Oryzias latipes: one gene and its partner. The protein of the gene in region 1 interacts with the protein of each later gene in a biochemical or structural test. Links are inferred from orthologs where the notes say so. Each region holds a gene or a part of one and is shown on either strand. Other genes may lie near its edges.

What was found. The genes of interacting proteins can lie anywhere in the genome.
Region 2: the proteins of drap1 (region 1) and dr1 form a complex in vitro, tested with the Homo sapiens proteins (2 studies listed by BioGRID). The link is inferred for Oryzias latipes from reciprocal best matches to the Homo sapiens genes DRAP1 and DR1.

What each region holds. Positions count from the first base shown.
Region 1 is NC_019876.2:27,235,417-27,243,025, reverse strand, and holds the start of drap1 (dr1-associated corepressor), read right to left. Parts: upstream 5,017-7,609; 5' UTR 4,807-5,016; coding exon 4,765-4,806; intron 2,768-4,764; coding exon 2,695-2,767; intron 2,430-2,694; coding exon 2,336-2,429; intron 2,134-2,335; coding exon 2,008-2,133; intron 1-2,007. Other genes in the region: UPF0696 protein C11orf68 homolog, read left to right, coding at 7,458-7,609. UniProt on the Homo sapiens protein: The association of the DR1/DRAP1 heterodimer with TBP results in a functional repression of both activated and basal transcription of class II genes.
Region 2 is NC_019862.2:24,027,193-24,034,771, forward strand, and holds dr1 (protein Dr1), read right to left. Parts: upstream 4,458-7,579; 5' UTR 3,840-4,457; coding exon 3,620-3,839; intron 3,450-3,619; coding exon 3,286-3,449; intron 2,059-3,285; coding exon 1,912-2,058; 3' UTR 787-1,911; downstream 1-786. Other genes in the region: retinol dehydrogenase 8-like, read right to left, coding at 5,966-6,199, 6,318-6,501, 6,892-6,985, 7,057-7,236, 7,391-7,552. UniProt on the Homo sapiens protein: The association of the DR1/DRAP1 heterodimer with TBP results in a functional repression of both activated and basal transcription of class II genes.

The DNA.
Region 1 (7,609 bases):
GCAATAGTGGTTTAAATTTATGACAATTATCGTTATAAATTATGATTTATTAGAAGATAAAGTTAATCTTGTAAAATATTGACTTTGTTGCTCTTAATTCTACGACTTTTTTGGACCTTTTGTCAAAAATGTTCAACTTTATCCTGAAAAATGTTTGACTTTATTCTTAAAAATGTATGTATTTATTTTATATATATGACCAGCCCTCATACTTCATCTTTAAATACAAACTGAAGTTCTGATTTTAAAGAGCCGATATTATGCAAACATTTTTGAGCTTTTTCGTGTTTATGTTAATTCCGTAAAGGCGGGGCCTCGGGGGTCAAGTCGTCTTACTTCCGGGCAGAAAAAGAGCTGCGGAAATGACTCATATTTCAGGTATACAGTGGGCCAGGTAAGTGTTCAGTCAGCCACCAATTGTGCAAGTTCTCCCTCTTAAAAAGAGGAGTTTTATTTTCATCACATTTCTCAACTATGAGAGAAAAAAATAGATAAAAATTCAGAAAAAATCAAATCCCTCCAAAGACTTTCTATGGGGTCCTGGAGACTGGCTAGGCCACTCCAGGACCTTGTAATGCTTCTTACAAAGCCACTCCTTCGTTACCCGGAAACGGGTGTTAGGGATCTTTGTCATGCAGGAACCCCCAGCCACGTTTCATTTTCAATGCCCCTGCTGCTGGAAGGAGGTTTTCACTCCAAGTCTGACGTTACACGGCTAAACTTATTCTTTCTTTGACACAGATCAGTTATCCTGGACCCTTTGCTGAAAAACAGCCCCAAAGCATGATGCTTCCACCCCCATGCTTTACAGTAGGGATGGTGTTCTTAGAATAGAATAGAATTGGTCTTTAATAATCCCTAAGGAAATTTTAAAAAATTCTTGAATGCAACTCAGCATTCTTTCTCCTCCAAACACGACGAGTAGAGTTCTTACCAAAAAGTTCTATTGTGGTTTCATCTGACCATAGGACATTCTCCCAATCCTCTTCTGGATCATCCAAATGCTCTCTAGCTAACTTTAGACGGGTCTGCACATGTACTGGCTTTAGCAGCGGGACACGTCTGGCCCTGCAGGGTTTGAGTCCCTGGTGGCGTCGTGTGTTACTGATGGTAGTCTTTGTTACTTTGGTCCCAGCTCTCTGCAGGTCGTTCACTAGGTCCCCCGTGTGGTTCTGGGGTTTTTGCTCAGCGTTCTTGTGATCATTCTGATCCACGGAGTGAGATGTTGACAGGAACCCCAGATGGAGGGAGATCATCAGTGGTCTTGTGTGTCTCCTATTTCCTAATAATTGCTCCCACAGTTCATTTCCTCACACCAAGCTGCTTACCTGTTCAGATTCAGTCTTCCCAGCCTGGTGCAGGTCAACAGTTTGGTTTCTGGTGTCCTTAGACAGCTCTTTGGTCTTGACCATAGTTAAGGTTGGGGTGTGACTGTTTGAGGTTGTGGACAGGTGTCTTTTCTATAGATAACCAGTTCAAACAGGTGACATTAATACAGGTTACCAGTGGAGGACAGAGGATCCTCTACAGAAGAAGTTAGATGTCTGTGACAGACAGAAATCTTGCTTGTTTGTGGGTGACCATATACTTATTTTCCGCCATAATTTACTAGTAAATTCCTTAAAATTCAGACAATGTGATTTTCTTCTTTTATTTAGTCTCTCATAGTTGAGGTATACCTATGACTATGATGAAGCTACAGGCCTCCTTCATCAAGTAGGAGAACTTCCACAATTGGTGGCTGACTAAATGCTTTTTTTGCCCCACCGTATATGGACATAGTTTACTCTGAAAAGCCTCAGCAAATCATGTTATAGGCCCTTTAAGGTCGCCAGGTGAAACAAGAGGCCTTCTGACTAATTCAGGACAAGAGAAGACCATGAGCACATTTTCATTGCTCAAACACAGACCAGGTTATTCTGTAGCGTGACACATACGTGATCACATAGGCAGCTGCTAGGCCTCATTTCATTCTGTTCTCCACGTCCACCTGTGGGACAGAGATACCTGCGCTGGACTTTTTCCCCTCCGCCTTCGATGTGGTTGTCCTCCCCTTCGCCCTGCATGTCCGGTACCGTTGCTACCAGGTCCTTTAGGAAATCGAACTGCTGCTCCAACTCGATGCACTGTTTTCTGGAGTGAAAAAAAAACACACATCCATTCCAGTCATTCCCATCCAGCAGACTGAGCGGAACAACAACGAAATGCCTTTCCATTGTTTTGTTTTTTTTCCTTACTGCAACATGGATGTAACTGGCACACATCCTCCAAAATCTTTCATCTGCTAAAGCCATTTTCACGTGTTCTTGGAGAGCGGATTCTTTCAGAAACTTACAGGTGGGACATCGTCATGGTCTTTGCGTTCCTCGACTGCGTGACTTGACAGGCTTTTGTGAGCAAAGACTCCAGGAACAGCTCCAGAGCTCTGGCTGATGCTTTGATTAAGAACATAATAACTCACCCGTGTTTGCACAAAACGTCTGCACAGACCGCTTCCTCCTGAAGCGTCAAAAACCAGAACCAAACCTGCAGAGATGCACAAATCTGCTGACCGCTGCCCTTGAGATGAAGCTGATTAGTGCGACACACATGCGTGTGCTCTGTCTGCAAACACGGGCAGCGGTTCAAAAGGTTTGCACACATGCAAAAATCCCACAAGGCCCTGTGACGTTCCAACACGTTTGCAAAGGATACATATGATGACAGGAACCGCTGCAGCCACTTTTCCTATCTCCTCATCTGTTTGCATAATCTTCTTGATCCTTGCCTGAAAAGACAACAGTCTGGTGTTACGTGAGGACATGAGAGGACGACATGTTTAACAAAAGAAAAAAACGCCCAATCTGAGGCAGTTTATCCAAAGAGGTGACAGTCTAACCATGAAAAGTAGAGAAAGCAAAAGGAATATTGAAACAAATTAGCCCTCTGCAGACCCACAGTTGAGTTTGTCAGCCACAATGACACAGTTATAAATCCGACACCCTCATCTGCATCGTTTCTATTCAAAATCAAACCTGAAGGTTTCAAAAGGTTATTAGCTTTAACATTTTTAGTTTAAAATAACATAACAAGAGTTATGACACATACTGTAATTGTGATACCCCTTAGTGCTTTGAGTGGAGCTTTGCCTGTTTTCTCATTGTTTTGACCTTTGCTTTGTTTTTGGATTTATGCCTTTTAATTTTATCTACACATATTTGATCTTTGTTCTAAAACATATAAAAACTGTTATATCTCAATTTTTGTGGGTTTTACAGTAAAAAGTTACTTAGTTTTATGAACAGCTTGATGCTCATTGTAGAATTATTGTGTAAAAATCATCAAAAGTATGTAAAAAAAGGAGAAGAAGCTGGGGGTTCTGTACCCCCCCCCCCCCCCCCAATTGTCATGCAGTCCCACACCATGACTCGACCAACGCCGTGCTTGACTGTAGGCAAGACACCCTTGTCTTTGTCCTCCTCACCTGGTTGACGCCATCTGAACCAGGTTTATCTTGGTCTCATCAGACCACAGAACATGTAATCCATTCCTTAGTCTGCTTGACTTCTGGGCCTTTTTGTGCATCGCGTTTAGAAAAGTCTTTCTTGTGGGACAACAGCCATGCAGACCAGTTTGTGGCGTATAGTCTGAGCACTGACAGGCTCACCCCTGCAGCAAAGCTCGACGCTCTCATACATATGTGTGTCAAAGGTCAGCTTTGGATGTGATGCTGTGAATGTGCGACGAACTTCTTTGACCGACGACAGCGAGACCTGTTCTGAGTCAAAGCTGTCTTTTTTAAACCGCTGGATGGTCTTGGGGGCACCGTTTCCGTTGGTAACCTTCTAGGCCATCTTTACGTTAACCGACAATTCTTTTTTTTCTTTTCAGTGAGTGGTTTGCCATGAGGAGCCATGTTTAACTTCCAGTGATCAGTTTGAGAGAGTGTAAGAGCTTTAATGCTATATTTAACACACCTGCTATCTATTGACACCTGAGACATTGTAACAGTAAAGAGTCACATGATATCGGAGAAGGAAAATGCCAAATTCATTTTTGTTGCCAGGGGTTTGGCTATATTAATAGTCATTTTTTAAGAAAAAAATTTTCACTACTATAAAAGATGAACACGGACTACATTTTATTGTGTCGAAAAGTCTTGTGTCCAATGAAAACAGTGAGGGGTGTACTCACTTTAGTGAGATCCTCTGTACATTGCGTTGTCTTTCAATATTCCAGTTTTATGTTTAATCCACTCTTGCTGAGACTCTTTACATTAAAATCAAAATCTCTAAAATCAAAGCCCGTGTTCTGGTTATTGTAATTTTACACCCAGATTCGTTTATTATCATCTGAATCCCAATATTTATTGTCTAATATTAACATCCATCGGTATAATGGTGTGACTTTATCAGCTAAATCCCACAAACACCAAACCAGAACTTCATTTAGATGGTGCAGAAACGTGACATTTAAAGGGCGCCGTGCCGTGACAGCGCTGTGATCCATCACTGTCCGTTTATACAGCTATAATACCAGATTAGGATTAGCATAACAGGCTAAAAACAACAGGGCGCACAGCCTAAACTGCTCGGGGAACGACTCGTGAATTAGTTAGTTACCTGCTTTATTTACACGGACAATATCTCGGTGATGGAGAACGAATTGCATTAGAAAAGTCTTGCTTTAGCTTGTTAATTCTCTTGGCAACAAAAGAGGCCAAATCCCACTCAGTCTGCTAATGCTAGCGACTCCCAACACCCGATAGTTTACGGTTATACTCACCGGAGGGAATCTGGCGTTGTACTTCTTCTTTTTGCTCGGCATAATTAAATAACCTGGTGACTGAGCTAAAATAAAATGTTAAATGTTTGGGGTTATACTGCTATTTCATGTGAATTCACCTCCACCGCACGTACACCAGATAGCGTTAGCTATCCGGCTAAGTTGTTAGCGCGCTGTCGTCATCTCGTTCCTCGTTGCTTGAGGAGCTGAAGGGATCCGTTTGCTTTTGCCAGGTCCTAGCGCCGGTCATGTTGGCACTTGCTGCGCTACTCTCAGATTTCATTAGTGTGTAGAGAAAAAATACGGTGGCCGAGAAGTGCCAGATACAACAACAACAAATCCCAGTAAAAATGAACAAATACTGAAACACAACAGCAAATCACTGGAAAAAAAAATAGTGTCCTGAAAAGCCACAAAAAACTAATACTACTACATAATACTTTAATGGAACATTTTTTAAGAAACAAAAAATAAAGTCCAGTCATGTTTTCATTAAGAAGAAAGGTTGTGATACACTTAAAACTGTTCAATGTCAAACCAGCCTCTCCAGGTGTATCTTTTTATTACAGCGGTGAATCGAGGCCGTATACAGGCATGGGCAAGGGGGGTAATGTCCTCCCCTAAATGCTATGAATCCCCCTTCAGAGGTGATAGCCCTTAAAAATCCAAAATTAACTAAGAATTTAAAAACAAAAAAACAACGAAAAATATTCATACAAACATCAAAAACAAAAAAACAAAACAAAATTAGAAAATAATGTAATGGACAAGTGGACAGACATAAAAAGAAAGAAAAAAGATAAATGCAGCCTCAAACCAGTTTCCTGCTTTTCCCTGTAATTCTGGTGCCTCCCCATAGATGGTTCTCTACAAATAAATGGGCTGTTGCTCAGATGCAGAAGCTCATTTTGCATTGCATGTGGTTTTGGAATATATGTTGTTTTTCTGGGAAGCATTTTTCTATCATTCCAATTCCACTTGAACGCAGCGTTACTCTAATTTACTTTTTCCCTAAAGGAACATCAATCCATTGGTGCAAATGGCTCTAAAATGGGAAGAAAAGCCACAGTTTTGAAATAAAGACACCAAAATGTTCTACATGTATGTCAATTTTCTATCAAAAGCTACAGATGTTTTTGTCAAGATTCCACGTTATTTCTTCATCTCATGAGTTGTGATACCAAAACACTCTGTACAACAGCTCCCGGTCCGGCCTTTCTGCCAAATCTTAGACCCCTTTGTGGCCCAAGGGTTTAATATTACACAGTTGTGGGTAAAAAAGCAACAAAGAGAAATTCAAGATTTGGTCTGGTGGACATATAAAGAGATTATCATCCAGATTCATAAGGCAGAACAGCCTGGAACCATGCCACTGAGGGGTGAACGGTCACATCTAGAACACGTCATGTCTCTGATTTTATTACTGGTTTAGAAACAAATAAAACGCCTGCATTATTCATTTATTTTTTCATCTTTTTAAACATGTAAATGATTCCTTAACAGTTTTTTTCCCATAAACTTAGTAGTCAGTCACGAAGGATTTCAAATATTCAGGCGTGTGGTATGGACGATGTAAAGACAGAAAACGTTTTTTTATTGACCCCCCCTGAATCTGTTTTATCAGCCGTACATGTCTTACAGATAAATCTGTGTTATCCAGCGGTTCAGGAGCGACCCGCCCTGCATCGTCGTAAAGATTGATCGGCTCCTGTTGACTGGAGAGACTTATCCTTGTGCAACGTTTTGCTCTGGAAGGGGTTTCAGATTTACAAAAGATGAGCAACATCCAGTCATTTGGTGTTTTTGAGTTTATGCTGAGAAATCATTCAAGGACTCTGTTGAGTAAAAGGTGTATGAAAAGAGATTGCCGTGATTCAATCGTGGATGGTCGATGGACCGTGTTCCCCTAAAGCATTACCAGGACGCCTCTGCTATAACACACCTGATCCTTATTGTTCACCTTTCTGCATTTCCCTTCAGGGGTCGCCGCATTGTTTCCATCTTTACCTTTAATGCTTTTCTCATTCACAACAATTTGAAGTAAGAAATCCTCAAAAATAAATGTTTACGTCTATGTTTTATTATAAATCTCCTCCATCAGCAGTAAAAACATTAAAAAAAACACTGTATTCATCTGGGTGGGTCCACAGGTCAAACTTCCTCTGTGGTTGGGCGAGACTCACATTTGTGTTTTAGTTGTTGATTTTTGACTTTTTTCTTTCAAGAGATGTCATACAGTGAGGAACGTAGAACACCAGGAGGTTATAAAAGCTGCACGTGTGTCTAATAGATTTTTCACGCATGCAACACCAATGAATTTACAACTTTAATACTATATCTACAGCATATATCACAGTAAGATTACGTAATTTAGGCACAAATCGTGTTCTTTGCTTGGTTCATTTTTACTTCTTCCGTGGTTTTAATGTGGTTCATCGTGATAAAGCTCTGAAAATTTCACGTAAAGACCACGACTTTTCTCACTTTTTCCTTGTGTGGTCATTTTTATCTGTGCAATATGTACAAAAGGAACGTAGTGGGTGTGTGACACGGCCTTAAGATGCTGCTCCAAAGTTCAGCCTCTGTGTTGCGTAAGTCTCCCTCACTCGTGCCGTCATGAACACAACTCCTGCTTTCTTTCAGCAGGGAGCTCCACACTCCTTGCTCGGTTCCAGTCTCACCTTCACGGCATCATGGAGGAAGAAGAGGCCTCTGCCAACGGTGAAAGGGAGAACTTTGCATCAGATCACTATGCCGCCGAAGCCCTGGCTGGAGACATGGATCCCTGGATTATTTTTGACTGCAGAAAAACTCCCAAATCGGAGTTTGATGCCTGGCTGGAGAG
Region 2 (7,579 bases), on another chromosome or scaffold:
GACAAAGGTGGATAAAGGTTGAAAGATTTCATGTAATCCATGGACACCAGTGAAGATCACAAATCATTAAAGAAAAAAGATTTAGCGCACTGTATAGTGGGTCTACATGACCCAACTCCCAATGTTAAAGTGCCTAGGATAGCACAAGGGTTACAGGTGCAATTGCATAAGGCTCCATAAACTTTAGCAGCAAAAAAACAGCCTATGGTGGCCTCCACAGCAGAATAAACAGCTGTCATTCACTCTACAGTAAATGTTGCAATAGAAACATTTTATTTCATTAGTAAAGGTCAGGTTTGAGAGTAAAACTGTTTTTCGCTTTCATGGATTTTTGAAAAGCATGCCGGGATCAAGTGACGTAAATAGTATATGAGGGTAATTTACATAGCGGTTTGCTACCTTCTAAGAAGCCCTTTACAGTCAGAGACCCATTCACAAACTGATAGCAGCTCTGCTGCTGAACTCTGGCGCCAACATATAACCTCCGGGGAGCAATGTGGGTTTCAGTGGTGACAAGGACACTTCAACACATCGCCAAGCAGAGCGGAAACTGAACCAGCGACCTTCCACTCATATGTCGACCACTCTACCACTCCACATTTTGTTTCCACAAAATGCATTAAGCTCAAAATCAAGATTTAACCTAATTATTGAGCAGTAGTTTAATTTAGTCTATACTTCAGAAACATTGTTTTTGATCACAGTTCTGCCACTTTTAGTTGATAGAAATATACTAATGTAGTAGTTTATTTTTATTTTGTTATTTTTTTCCTAGGAAGCATGAAGCAGAATGTACTTTGCTTTATTATACAAAGGTCATAGAAAAAGATACCATAATAATGTAAGCAAGCAGAACAGTACATCTTAGAAGATTAAAAAAAAAAAAGTCTATAAAAAATTATTTTATTGTTGAAAGAATACATTTCTGTAGAACAGACAATAAATGCATATCACAATAAGGTGGTTGGTTTTTTCCAAAGATGTCCCAAATTCCTGATGGAAATATATTATGTTGTAAAAGAACTAGAATGGAAACTGCAATGTAAGCCTAGACACCCAAGTGCCTCACAGAGATTCAAGTTTATTGTCTTTGACATGGTTTTTAGAAGATCTTGACTAAGCAGCACCTACATCTAAAAAAGGAAAAGAAAACTACAAAAGTTAAATCCCCCATCTTTGGTTCTATGAAACAAAAATGTGTAGGTGCTGCTAATTATCAATACTGTGGGTGTTTAAAGGAAAAGAAGTGCCTGGATGATCTAAAAATTAAACAATAATGCCTTTTAAGTTCTCTATGTAGCAAACAGCAGTACATGGGCATTAGCGTCCTGCCATTAGCCTATGCTCTCTAAATCTAACCCTACACAGTACACAGGCAGACGCTGATGCACAGATACCAACACACATGCTGCATGAATTCACTTTGACAAATAAACCGAGAAGGGAGAAAGATGCAGAAAGCAGATGCTTGGAAATTCCTGAACAGAAATTCTGAACATGTTTGAGCTCCAAGGATGAGTTGAACAGATCTTCTAATGCCGTATCAGAAGGAGCAAAGATCTGCTGTGAATTTATCTGTCACAAAGTCTGCTCTTTGAACGTGCTCTCAACACGTAAAGAAAAATCTATAAATTAACAATGAACATAAAAGTGAAAAAAAAAACCCAGGGGAATATAAATTTAATGAAAAACTTCGCAAACAGCCTTTCCATTTTTACCATTTTCCGGTAAAAACGCTTCTTTGAATGTGCATGTGGGGCCGTTTCTCCCCTCGCATCCCTTTCTTTAGCTTTCTAAATTTCAAGTACACAAACATGTTTTAAGTCCCTGTTCATGGCAAAACTGAGATTTGTGTACCAAAACTTTCCTAACGTTAAATTCAAACACAGTAAAGTGGGTCGCGGGGGGGGGTCACATTTCGTCCTCTTCGTCTTCATCCTGAGAAGAGCCCGCCTGCTGGGCAACGCTTGCAGATGCTGCTGCCATCTGTGCCTGCTGGGCAGCCTGCTGCATCTGCAGCCACTCCTGCTGTTCAAGCTCCGCCTGCTGCTGCCGCGCCTGCAGAAGACGCACATTCTATCATGAGTGCTTGACACAATGTGGCACTTCAGGTTTACCCATTCAAGCTCATGGCAACCTGCAGTGAGTCCGGCCGGTTACTGCAGAAATAATAGTTTTTGGTAATTTTTTAAATATATACCGTACATGTAACTTCTCAAAAAGGTTTATCTTGTGTTGTTGGATATTTATTAAATGAATATCAAATACAACGCAGCAAATCAAACAAAGCAATACATAGGAACAAAATGTTTTTTTTAAAGGAATGTGAACAAAATACATCTCTCTGACCTTAAAGACCCACTCAAATAAAAATCATGCTTTTGGTGTTTTTAACATGTTCTTGTAGCATTTTTCTAGCTTACAGCCCCTCAAACCCCCAACCTAACTTTACCAGTGCGACAAAAATGATAAGCAATATTGGATTTCCAGCTGTATAGCTGAGTCGGAAGCCTGTTAAGACGAGGAAAAAGACGTACATGGATGCATTTGTCTGCAAGAGGATGTATCAGAATGGAGCAGAGAGGGAAGCTTGTGGCCCGCCGATTGTAGCTTTTTCCACACAGCATTTTGTCGTTTGCTCCTGACTCAGAACTATTTGAATGAAGAAATGCTCAGAAATGTAATATGAAGCTTGTTTTTCTTATGATACGTCTTCCATCATCAGAAAAATGCCACAAGAAGATTTTAGAAAACACCAAAAACATGATATTTTATTTGAGTGGGTCTTTAAAGTAAAAAACCTTTAGCAAAAACACACCATGGCCTGTCAGTTAAAGCTGAAAGGGCCACATTAACTTACTTTGAATGAGCAGAGAGTGCTTTGTTTCAGGACAATCAGCATAACTCAAAGAGGAAGTTACATTCAGGTTGATTTAAATGTGTATGCCTATATGATATTTGAAATTGTTTTGTGTGTACATGTCTTCATTTCTACAATACTTGACAGGAAAAGATTTTTTTTCATCTTAAATACTTCCTCTATGAGCTTAGTTAAGTATTTTCTATTAAAACACCTAAATTTGTTTGCATCCAATCTTAAAGGGGATTGATATCCTTAAATGGAATGACCAGTTTAGAAACTTTTGAAAATGTTAACAAAACCAAGCCCTTCTGTACCTCAAATGAAAAGTACAAGTTGTGTGCCCGTGTTCATCATGATCTGTAGGTTAATATTATTGTGGGTGTTCAAGCCACATTTGAAGGTGCAGTTTTCTGAGATCAGACCTTGGCAAATAACTCCTGCTGCTGCCTCAAGAGTTCCTCCTCCGGAATGCCCAGGTTTTCCAGTCGAGAGCTGGCCTTCCTCCTCTTAAGAGCAACCGTTTTGCACTCCTGCAGCACGTCTTTCACCTCTGTGATGTACGAGCCGAAACCAAGGCTCTCGAGGGCTGTGGTGCAGAAACACGAGGTTGAAACTACACTTTCTATGATGTGAAGCTTGCAGGAGGATCCGTGCTCCTTTGCATCCCCCCCCCCCCCACACACACACACACACCCACCCACATAAAGGACGAGCGATATTTAAAGAGGTGGTAAATACATGTAAATGAGAACCAACCGTTAATGACATGCTCTGGAGATATGGTCTTCTTGTCGGATTTGTTACAGATCTCATTCGCCTCGGAGGAAATAAGATGGATGAACTCTGTGCAGCAATTGACCACAAGCTCCCTGGCATCGTTGGCCACCCGTACGTTAGGCAAAGTTTCTTTGATCATTTTGTTGATAGCTGCTCTCGGTATGGTGAGGTCGTCGTCATTTCCAGACGAGGAAGCCATAGTGATGAAAAAAGGGGGGAAAGGAACAGAATAGTGGAACTCCGCTTCTTCGAGAAGATTTATCACGCGTTCACTGTCTTCTCTATGTCCATGTTACAGTAGACAGATAACGGTTCAAGAAAATATCGATGGAAATGTTGCCAAGCGAGCTAGTCTAAGTTAGCCCACTGGCTAGCTTACCAACCAAATGTCAAACAATGAGCAGGTTCTGTTGCTTGAGCGGCGCTCCTATATCGTATTTAATCGGCGAATAAATGTCCAAGATTGCTCTGAAGCTTACAGTAAAAAAAGGGAGGGGGAAGAAAAATTATATCCTTATATCCGTCGTCCGTGGCGAAACTGAGACGCAGCACACAAGTCCAATGAAAGCGGAGAGCATGGCTAAGCTAAGCTAACAATTAAGCGCAGATGAAGCGGAGCTGTTTGCTTTACGAAGCGCAAGAATTATAGTCAGTTCTACTCGTAAATAATTGGAGTATTTATATGTAAGTCCTGAACTTGACCAAAATTTGATTGCAGATGTTTTGTTTAGGTTTATAATTTGGAGTTGTGTACTGTACAAACATTAGCTGAAATGTGTCCGGTTACGACGTCAGACAAAGGGCGTTTTTGATTGGCTCCGAGTGTGCGCTATAACAATTTCCGGTGCCCACCAGGATGGAGTCGGGTGGTACAACAAATGATTGGAAATTGTTCCGCAGGGAGCTACAGATGTAATTATCTTTTTTTTCTTTCGTTACAAAACCAAACTATTATCTCTGATTTTTCTAAGATTGCCTACTTTTGGAAATATATTTATTTTAAATGAAGAAAAAAAAAGTATGTATCTACAAATGCATTGTTTTTAGCAGTTGTAACATTAATATTAAGAATAATTTGATTCATATAATTTGTGGTTGCTGATATGATTCATAGTTAATTTTAGATCATAGTGAACCAGTAAATTTATTACGATTCACTGACCTTATTTTGATCCAGAACATCTTCAGCCAAATATTCAACCAATGTGGCTCAGAGATAAATACCTGGGTACTAACAGTGCAAGGTGAAGTTTTTCCACATTCCTTGTATTTCTTTCAAGATAATCAAGTGTAAATTAAATATGTGTACAAACAAGCCAGTAATCAAGTACCAATGTCAAATCCATTCACATTTTAGTTTCATAAAGTTTTGCCTACTGTTGTTTTTCCACATAAAAAATAATACAAATGGAACATTATCAGAACATTCTACCACACTGTTTGGTCACGTCTTTGCTAAATCAAAAGTGTTTTGCTGTCATCTCGTGTGTGTGTGTGTTGTCCACTGTGATGCACGTGGTCATTTTTAAGTTACAGTAAAATAAACCTACAATGCCTCAATCCAAATGGTATTTTTCAGTAAAGATTATAGTCAATTTAATTTTGAAATGATCTTATGGTATTTATCGATTTGATTAACAACTTGTCTCAGACTTTGATCTGGATAAATAAATTAATTAAGTGTTACATCCCTACTATTCTTTGTTTTATCTGACTTAGAGTTGCCCCGTTGCCATGTGTGAACATTTTGTTTTTAAGTTATATTTACACTTCCAAAAAGTGTAAATATACATTAAATCAAGTTCTACCTGTAGAACTTGATCTAATGTAATTTCTAAAGACAAACATTTCAAAATGCCAAACAGTAGTTTCTCTCACAATGATCTTTATTTAGTGGCATAGAAAAATTAATAAAGAAATAGAACTTCCTTTGAAATTATGATAAATATTGTTGTTAGTGTTAGTTAATTCGTTTAAATAATAATTTTGGATTTTTTAACAGAAGCTAGCCAGCTTATTGAGAGCAACAGAAAAATATAACTGGGAACAATTTTACAATAGATCAAAAGATGGTAGAAGTGGGATTTAAACATGTTTAAAGTGAATTTTAATTAACACAGTGGAATTCGCCACTGTGTTAACTGTTTAAGCAGTTCTCATGCATCAAAATTTACACACTTCTCAAACCTTTTTTATTTAAGATTGCCTTCAAATACATATACTCTCTCAATTCAAATACTACTTCTGTAGAAGGCTTTTCAAAATGTAATTTTAAATTCTGAACCACTGATGTATTTTGCATTTGAAATTAAAATCCTGAAACACTCAGTTCTTGTCTTTTTCCAGGGTGAAACTCTTGCGACTTCTCCAGCGCAGAAGTTTGAGGAAGTTAAGGCTAGCGTTGAAGACTTTGTCGTGCTCAAACACCATCTTGTAAAATGTGTCAATTGGAAGGTCACCATTGGGGTCGGCATATTTGAGTGTTGTCATGGGGGTGTAAAGTGTGTTTGTCTGATGGCGAAAAGGCGGGTTCTCCATGGTGATGATCTTTAGTGTGTGCTGAGAAGAAAACACACAGCAAAAAAATCAACAACACTAAAACAAAAGAGAACTTTGCTTCAGAATGTCAAAACACATGACATAACTGACACACGAGCATGTTTGGGGGGCTGTGTACCTCTGCGATGTCTTCAGCACTTTGTCCAAGGGTTTCAAAGATTTGCTTGTAGTTCTTCAGGTAGATGTTTGTGAACATATCAGCAGTTGGTTTGTCAGCTTTGCTGAGATCGATCTTCACACCTTCGTCATAGACCTTTCGTTCAAATTCTGTCAGCACCGGGCCTGGTTCAATCAAACTGATGCTAAAAACATAGTTCACAGTTTTAATTACAATTGCTTGGATTCTGGTAAAAAAAAAAAGGGGTTGAAATTTGGTTTTCTTTTGTAACTAGGCATTTTAAATTATGTGTAAACTGGAAACTGTTTTTTGTAATTTGGAAAGGGGTTTAGGAAAACCTGGTGTCTTGTCGTTTCACTGTTATACATATTTAGCAATATTTGCCTAGACAAAATTGATGATGTTTCTCTATTGGTAATAAAAAAAAACCTAACAATGGTCACTTAAAATTAACTAAAGAGCCCAACACAACCTCCATAGATATTAAAGGTGAACCCAAAGTACATCAATGTAAACAGTGTCTATTAAAAGACAGTTACTAACAATTTTGTCCTTGTGTGTTTGAGTATCTTACTTGAGATTAAATCTCAAGGCTTGTATAGCCAGGCTCTCACAAAAACCTTCCACTGCAAACTTGGATGCTGCGTAGACGTCGTTGAACAAAATCCCTAAAACAGAGAACATCACAGGTCAGAGAGTCACAGACAAATGATCAACTAGGCATTGCAGCCGTCCTCACCTTGAATGCCCATCACGCTGCTAATGACCACGATGTGGCCTTTCTTCCTTTTTTTCATGTCGGGTAGGATTTCCTTCAGCAATCGCACAAGTCCGAAGAAGTTTGTGTCCATGACCGTCTTCATCTCATCAATAGACTGACATTCAATGGGTCCGATCAGGCCCATCCCTGCATTGCTTACTTTTACCAGGAAATAAAAATGTGGGGGTCATGTTGACAAAGTGTGCTCAAAAGATGTTGCACGAAAAAGAACTTCAATAAGTCTGTTATGGTGCGTCATAACACTTATATCAAGACAATACTCATGTATGAAAGGAACCTAGAGTCGACATACTGAGGATGTCCACCCTGCGTTCTGGTAGGCTGTCAATACAATCTTTGATGGAATCCTCATCACAAACATCCAGCTTCTTGATCTCCAAGGTTCTGCCCAGTGTCCGACCAGCCGCATCTATCAGTGGCTTAGCCTTGTGCAGGTCCCTCATGGTTGCATAGACTGCAAGAGAAAAACATTCAGTGGAAG